2 linked regions of the Nothobranchius furzeri genome follow. The protein of the gene in region 1 interacts with the protein of each later gene in a biochemical or structural test. Links are inferred from orthologs where the notes say so. Each region holds a gene or a part of one and is shown in the gene's direction. Other genes may lie near its edges.

Region 1 (4,343 bases):
AAATGTGTTGTCTTCTGTCAGCTCCAGTCAGCAACCTAGCTGCTGAATTCTGGACCAGCTGAAGTCTAGAAAGAGCTGCTTTACTGATGCCGTATAAGCAGGAGTTTGAGTAATCCAGCCTTGAGGTGATAAAAGTGTGGACCACCGATTTACCACCAGGATTTACCACCAGGATTGGATTGGATTGGATCTTTGTTGAAATTTAAATATTCTGCCTATATCTGTCTGTTGCACCCTCTGTAGGTAAAAACTACGCTACCCGGCCTGGGCCGACCCGGTACAGATGGGAATGGCCCATAAGATGTATACTATGACATCAGCTAGTACCATATGATGTCACAATGTTGTGAGCCTGTGTGTACTTGTTAGCGGTTCTGCCTTCTCGGTCTGCCAGCCAACTGCATTTGTTGCATTTTTCAAACAGGAAGTTGGAGTGGAGTAAGACTCTGGTAAGGGGTTACTTGCTCTTTAGATGGTTGTTTCTGAGTTGTAGTCGTTTTTGAACTGGTAAGTAGAAGATACGTATGCACATCGCCCCTTCAAGAATTTGTTTCACCATTTGCACTGGTACTGGATAATAAAAACTGGTCAATGAGTTAACTTTTATTATTATTATTATTATTGCCAGAGAAATTACAGTTCACATTAGAGAAATGTGACAAAGTCAAGTCATGCAAAGGGTTTAATTCCTTGCAATAAAATGTACTTACAGCAGGGGGCGCTCTAAGGTAACATTGGGCCAAATGTTGCAGGCAAAAAGTGTTTATATGTAAATGAGAACTTTAAATATCTTTCTACTGCTCAATTTGTTGAGCTGCTGTTTTAATTCTGCATAGAGACGCGTTTTAAAGGGTAACCTCCGTTCCGGGCGGCCGTGGACAGTCGGGGCCAATCGCTGACGCCGTCTGGGAGAGAGAGCGAAGCATCGTCGAGGGGCTCTGAGCGATGGTGGGAGAGCGACTTTCTGATGAGCTGCCTTTTGCGTGTAGAGGTCGCAGAGAAGAAATCTCCCCTTCTGAGCTCCTCCAGCCTCCGTGTAGCTCACTTCCACCACAGCTGCGCCTTTTTTTGTCACTGATTAAACACGGAAAGAAACATGACTGAAAACATCTGGGCGCGACAGACTTCAGAGGAAAGGCTTTCCCTCGTTCCGAGGTCGTTTTTGCCTTTTGTATTTCCTTGATAAATTCTCGTGGACATTTTGGATCTTCTTTAATGTTCCGTGATATTGTTCGGATCGGATACGGAGGATTTTTGCTCCGATTTTTTGGCTGTCCCGAGTCACTGGGAAGCTAAGACTTTGAAGTGTTTGGAAACAGCTGGAGACGTTAAGGAACTTGAGGGCTTGCGGGGGAGAAATGTGCGCACTGGGCCACCTTCGAGCAGCTCTTTAAGTGGGCAGCCTTAGCTAACGGCTAACCTAGCCAAACTCCCATTTTAACCAACAAACCGACTCTGTGATGATAGCAAATGCTTTCGTCCTGAAAACATTATTTGTATAACTTCACATTTTTCTCCACTAACTGGACATCAGTTCATGCCCCACGGAGTCGACGTGAATTGAGGTAAGTGTCTTTGTTTGCGCAAGTTCTCGCAAAATGCTAACGTTGGTGCTAGCTGCGCCGAAGCGTTCTGGTCCAACGCCGATGCTGTCCGACTTGAGTTTGACTTCTTATTTTAATCATTTTAAACTACAAAACTGTTCCGTTAAGTTCTCATAAAAATGCTGATGTTTGGTGATAATTTAGAGCTCATTTGTAGCTTAATGACACTGGGTTATGGCTTATGTATCAGCTTTTGGCTGTGTTTTTATCAGATCCACATCTGTGCTCGGCTGCTGCTTTGCTTTGTAGCTGTTTGCTGTCAGTCAGCCATCCATCCATCAGTTTCAACGCTGTGTTGAAAGCTGTCACCATGTTTAATGTCACCCACACCAACAGTCATTATTCCAATAGCTTGTAGCGAAAGTGTTTGTGGAGGGGGATTACAGTCGTCGTGCTGTACGTGTTTTTACTTTCATCACGTTACTAATCAGATTACTTAGAAAAATAGAGATTAATCGATTTTTTTATCTTGATTTTAAATGGGTCAGGCTTTCTGAGGTAAATGTTCCCCTCTTTTTGTTTCAGTCTGATGCTTTCAGATGTAAACGCTGAGAGTGTGTAGCAGATTGTGACCCACATTTGTGTGTTTTAAAAATAAAAATACCACACACCTGACTGCTGTTGAGAAGGGACGTGTAGTCAGAAGATGCAGGACCTGTCTGCGTGTGAATCAGATGATTCTTACAGACAACTTTAAACTGAAGCTTTTCATTTGATGCCTAGCTTATCAGCTTGTTAACAGATTTGGCTTCACAGACCATCCTTACTCTAATGTAAACAAAGACATGGAGCTATCAGCTGCAACTTGTTAAGGGATAAAATCTTTGACCTGATGAGTCAAACTCAGATAAAGTAGTAAGTTCCAGTGGGAAAATTAAATGTATCAAAACAGTAAATAAATTGGCAGTATTTACTCCAGATCACATTGCATGTTACTGAAGTCAATAACATTGATTGTGTTCTGTCCAGCATAATTAGATGGATTAATGTTTAGATTAGAACATTGATTTAGAAATGTTTGTACAGGCCCTTCTCAAAAAATTAGCATATTGTGATGAAGTTTGTTATTTTCTGTAATGTACTGATAAACATTAGACTTTCATATGTATTAGATTCATTACACACAACTGAAGTAGTTGAAGCCTTTTATTGTTTCTAAAATTGATGATTTTGGCATACAGCTCATGAAAACCCAAAATTCCTATCTAAAAAAAATTAGCATATCATGAAAAGGTTCTCTAAACGAGCTATTAACCTAATCATCTGAATCAACTAATTAACTCTAACACCTGCAAAAGATTCCCGAGGCTTTTAAAAACTCCCAGCCTGGTTCATTACTCAAAACCACAATCATGGGTAAGACTGCCGACCTGACTGCTGTCCAGAAGGCCATCATTGACACCCTCAAGCAAGAGGGTAAGACACAGAAAGAAATTTCTGAACGAATAGGCTGTTCCCAGAGTGCAGTATCAAGGCACCTCATTGGGAAGTCTCTGGGAAGGAAAAAGTGTGGCAGAAAATGCTGCACAACAAGAAGAGGTGACCGGACCCTGAGGAAGATTGTGGAGAAGGACCGATTTCAGATCTTGGGGGACCTGCGGAAGCAGTGGACTGAGTCTGGAGTAGAAACATCCAGAGCCACCGTGTACAGGCATGTGCAGGAAATGGAATACAGGTGCCGCATTCCCCAGGTCAAGCCACTTTTGAACCAGAAACAGCGGCAGAAGCGCCTGACCTGGGCTACAGAGAAGCAGCACTGGTCTGTTGCTCAGTGGTCCAAAGTACTATTTTCGGATGAAAGCAAATGTTACATGTCATTCGGAAATCAAGGTGCCAGAGTCTGGAGGAAGACTGGGCAGAGGGAAATGCCAAAATGCCTGAAGTCCAGTGTCAAGTTCCCACAATCAGTGATGGTCTGGGGTGTAATGTCAGCTGCTGGTGTTGGTCCACTGTGTTTTATCAAGGGCAGGGTCAATGCAGCTAGCTACTTCATGCTTCCATCTGCTGAAAAGCTTTAAGGAGATGAAGATTTCATTTTTCAGCACCACCTGGCACCTGCTCACAGTGCCAACACCACTGGTAAATGGTTTACTGACCATGGTACTACTGTGCTCAATTGGCCTGCCAACTCTCCTGACCTGAACCCCATAGAGAATCTGCGGGATATTGTGAAGAGGAAGTTGAGAGACGCAAGACCCAACACTCTGGATGAGCTTAATGCCGCTATCGAAGCATCCTGGGCCTCCAGAACACCTCAGCAGTGCCACAGGCTGATTGCCTCCATGCCACGCCGCACTGAAGCAGTCATTTCTGCAAAAGGATTCCCGACCAAGTAGTGAGTGCATAACTGAACATAATTATGTCAAGGTTGACTTTTTTTTGTATTAAAAACACTTTTCTTTTATTGGTCGGATGAAATATGCTAATTTTTTGAGATAGGAATTTTGGGTTTTCATGAGCTGTATGCCAAAATCATCAATATTAGAAACAATAAAAGGCTTGAACTACTTCAGTTGTGTGTAATGAATCTAATATATATGAAAGTCTAATGTTTATCAGTACATTACAGAAAATAATGAACTTCATCACGATATGCTAATTTTTTGAGAAGGACCTGTAAAGGGGTTCGCAACTTGGCGTCTGTGACCCTCCAAGGAGATTTCCACAATTTAGTCTGTGCCTAGGTTGTGAGGTAACTAAGATTATATTTGTAAAAATAACATTTATAAAATATCAATC
Region 2 (4,317 bases), on another chromosome or scaffold:
TTTTTTACTCTGCTGCCATTCTGACTGCCCCACATCAAAATTATGCGTTAAAATACTCTTTTAAACATTAATTAAATGTGTTATTTTCATTTAAAACATTCAAACACAACATAATGCAATAAGACAATTATCCCACAACCACTGACAGTTTCACAAACTAAGTAGAATTGGTTTAGATAAATTTCATGATCAGGATCTGTCAGTAAATTTGTCTAAAATTGTTCCAGTCCTCTGTTTATATGATTAACTCTTTAAAGGGGCCAGTGTCTAATAGATACTTCCACTCACGTCATAAATGCTGTCAGTATGCCTTTTTACAAACTCTTAGAGTTACAGTATTTCACCCAAACAATCATCAGAAATCAAACTTGTCATGGTTTGCGCCATGGCACCATTCCACCAATCAGTGCGGGGCTATAACGCGCTAAATATTGGTGTCTGCAGAGCCAGAAAACTTCTCCTCTCGTGTTTATGGTCAGAACGCTAAAACTAACAATGTTCATGAAACTCTCACGTCACAAGGTTGACTAGTTGTGCTAAATAAGGATATATGTGTTGTAAATGTTAAACCCAATGAAATTGGTGAAATCATCGAATAAAAATCAAATCTGCCATATTTGAACATACGCCCTGAACAAGTAAAAGAAGTTATGAATATTTTTAGATAAAATTGTTGTTTTTTTAGACAAAATCTTCATAGTAACAGGAACAATTATGATATTGAATATATTTGCAGTTTTAAACTAAGATTTCTCTTGGAAATGGAGGACAGGTATTGTGCCAACCAATCTCACCATCAGTGATGATGATGATGAACAGGAGGAAGATGACAGATCCTGAAATATAAAATATTCTAAAATAATATAATAATCTATATTTGATTAGAAATAGTATCTATTGTTCAATAACGTTTCTAAAATATTCTACAGTTATCAGGTTTCATTAAAAAATTCTATAGTAATTCTGATATAATGTGTATTAGTAAAGAGTCATATGTTTTAAAATTAGTTAGATTATTCTAAAGTGTCTTATAATTATCTATATTATTCAAAAATAAAAACTTGTTCATGTTTTTTATTTTTGGGATTTCTTATTCTAGAACAGGACCAACGTCCATATTTAATCACCGTCTGAATTTCTGCTTGAAAATAAGTATTTTTGAAAATTGTAACAACAGAAGTGTACTTTTATTGAAAAATACAATTTTATTGAAAATTTAAAAGTTTAAATTCTTCAATGGGTGCCCAATAAAGGATTAATAGATAATTAATTAGATCGCATGGAGCACATTCTACACCCGTAAAATCGCAGGCCAATCGCGTGAGAGCATTGTAAACACTCAGCCAATAGAATAGTTCCTCTTATTTTATTAGCCAATCATATTTGCTTAGGGCGGGACCTGGAAGTGTTTCTATTTCCTTTTTTTTTATTTCTGCATGTAATAACGGCTTGCGTGTCTTGACGTGTTATGTAATCCACCGTACAGTAGCAGGACCCTCCTGTAACATGTGCGTACTACAAAGTTGCGCCACTTAGCCGGAGGCAGCTTTTAAAGGAGGAGAAAGTTAAGGGAGGTGGAGTACTGTGTGGAAGCCGGCCGGCAACCATGGAGAAAGTCAGCAGAGATGCGAAGACCAACCCGGCAGCGACGGCGAACCTCCTGTCGAAGGTGTTTTTCTGGTAGGTCAAATAGTACCCGGCGTGCGCGAGACGCTGCTAGCGTAGCGGGGAGTTCAAACGTGTCTCTGCTCACTTTTACTGTGTTTACATACTTTTGTCATAAGTAAAAGTATTCAAACGGAAGTGCTGCTGTGACAAAGCATGGGCTCAGCAGCAGTTCGATTTAAAACGTCTTTTAGCGGAGTTTATTCTCACTTTTGTTAGTTTTTTGACCCGTTTTGTTTTTATTATTACCTGTTAGCTTAGTGGCACCAGCTACAGGACACCTGGCCGTCGTGTCATCACACGCGCCAGCTCCTGAAACCGGAAAACCGTAAGCGCCAGGTGTTTTGAATTTAGACGATACTGCGTTTGATTCGGTTCTGTTCCAGGGGTCTCGGTTATTTACGTTTCCCAGGGAGAAAAGTGACGTTGTGCACAAGCTAAACACTCCCAAAAAGACTTAAATGATCTGAGGCCGTGACGCAGAAGTTAAATGTGACTCAAAAGGATTACACCAAGATATAACAATGAAAAAATCAAAGGAGTACAAATGAAAATCCTGCTAAAATATGCGCGTGAGGCCTCAGATTAAGTGTGATTGAGTTATTAAGGGTGACATAAATCTGTGTAAGTGGAAAACTGAGTTTACAGTATTTATTTATACTCATAAATGTTCAAATCTGTTGTTTTCGGGGATGCTGATTGGTCAGAAACAGCAAGTCTAAAAGTTTGTCTTGAATTAAAACTAGATTTTCTTGCAGAGATGTTGTTTGGATACTAATTGAGCCCGGTCCACTTGCTTACTACTATATTTACTGTTTATTCCAATGAGCTGAAAATGGCAGAAAAACTTGAATACCATAAAGATTTTTGTGTAAAACGTTGGTTCAAACTGTCCTCTCGAGGTTCATGGTGAATGTGTCAGGTGTCATTAGGCTCCTTAATGAAAAAGGGAAGTGTGTGGGATCAGACTAGAGCTGGATCATAACTGGTGACTTCCTGAATGGGATGAACTGGATCGCTCTGGCCCCCTGACTGGTCTGTTCTTCTCCTGTCAGGTGGCTGAATCCTCTCTTTAGAACGGGCTACAAACGCAGGCTGGAGGAGGATGACATGTTCGAGGTGCTCTCGGAGGACAAGTCGGAGTACGTGGGACAGGAGTTACAGAGGTGAGCGTGCTGCTTTATCTCCTAAATGTTGGACAGGTTACAGATTTGTTCTTATTGGTGATAAATGGAAGACAAGTGTGACCAGATCGATAAGCTAACAGATAGTGACTGTGGATTCCTGCTGCCTTGAAACAGCGCGGCGGTAGCAGTCTACTCCACGGTTCTCATGGGGATGGACATTTCCCATTTTCCAAACAGCGGCTTTTATGATCCCTTTAATCTGAGGCTAACAGGATACGCGTGGTTTAATTGTACTCGTTGTTTTCTTAAAACTGTGACTGAGCTTTTAGGAACTGACAGCTGATTGGAACCAGATCTGTTAGAAGCAAGCTGGACGAACGGTGATGATCGTCGTTAGTTTAGTTGAACTTTGTTGGTAAACAAACAAAAGCGAGTCTCTTCTCTCCCGTGCTGATAGATCCACACCTTGGTTCCAGTCTGCACCGCTACCCTTCTGCCCTCTCTGGTCTGAGGAGGCCGTTTGTTCTTTATTTTGAAATGTAAATTTCTCAGTGATTTAACGGGTTTTAGTGCTGCTCTGAAGGCAGCTTTCTTCTTTCTCACTTCCTTTTAAAGGATAAGGAGCCAGTAGCTGTGTAACTACTGTCTCGCAGATTTTTTTATCTCCAACAACACAAGCGGCTCTGTTTATTTCTGAGGAACTCCCAGAGGAAAAACCAGAACCATAAACGATGCACAACACCACACATGTTGATCTTTTTAACTCTTATCTGGCAGTTTGGATCCAGCCTTTTAAGGAGACTAATCAGGACATCACAACTCTGATCGCTTGTTTGTAAATAAATATCTAACTGGTGCTTGAGCTCACACTAACGGAGGAGTCGGGCCAGCAGAGACGTCGCTTTAAAGTGAGCCAGGACACTTCATCTTTATTTGACAGATTAGAGAAGGTACAGGTGTATCAGTGAGGGCTGCATTCCACTTCTGTAGCTGTGCATGCTGGTAAAACGACCAGCAGAGCTCCCTGTACTTGGAATGCAGCCCTTGTTGCCATGGCAAGGGGAAAGAAATGTAAAAGAGTTAATTTACTTCTAATTAAGGACCCGTAAGATGTAAGATTCCATAGTAAATATGAAATCAACCTTACGGACAGTTGGGTTATTTTAACCAGAAGATTGGAACTTTTGATTGCAGGGATTATGTAACACTTGTATTAAGTGAGAGACGAGAGAGTCACCTTTAAAACGTTTAAGAAGATTTATTTCTAAACAATTTTAAAGAATTTTAAACAAGACTAACTCTAAGTGATGAATGGATCTGGTGTGAATGAGACGTGAGATGAATGGTGTATGTGTGAGTGATGTAATCAGAACTCTCATATCTGGAGAAGCAAGTCTGAATGATGTTGTGATGTTTTGCTTTTAGCTATGATCAGAGTTTGATCGGAGTTTCATAAACACGAGACGCCATATTGTCGCTCTACACATACCATTAGGATGAGACCTCCTTACAGATCCAGACTGCC

What was found.
Region 2: the proteins of erbin (region 1) and abcc4 interact in a test that uses a peptide from one of them, tested with the Homo sapiens proteins (2 studies listed by BioGRID and IntAct). The link is inferred for Nothobranchius furzeri from reciprocal best matches to the Homo sapiens genes ERBIN and ABCC4.

What each region holds. Positions count from the first base shown.
Region 1 is NC_091746.1:65,311,228-65,315,570, reverse strand, and holds the start of erbin (erbin), read left to right. Parts: upstream 1-1,336; 5' UTR 1,337-1,565; intron 1,566-4,343. UniProt on the Homo sapiens protein: Acts as an adapter for the receptor ERBB2, in epithelia. By binding the unphosphorylated 'Tyr-1248' of receptor ERBB2, it may contribute to stabilize this unphosphorylated state.
Region 2 is NC_091754.1:57,241,987-57,246,303, forward strand, and holds the start of abcc4 (ATP-binding cassette sub-family C member 4), read left to right. Parts: upstream 1-1,453; 5' UTR 1,454-1,606; coding exon 1,607-1,680; intron 1,681-2,720; coding exon 2,721-2,831; intron 2,832-4,317. UniProt on the Homo sapiens protein: ATP-dependent transporter of the ATP-binding cassette (ABC) family that actively extrudes physiological compounds and xenobiotics from cells.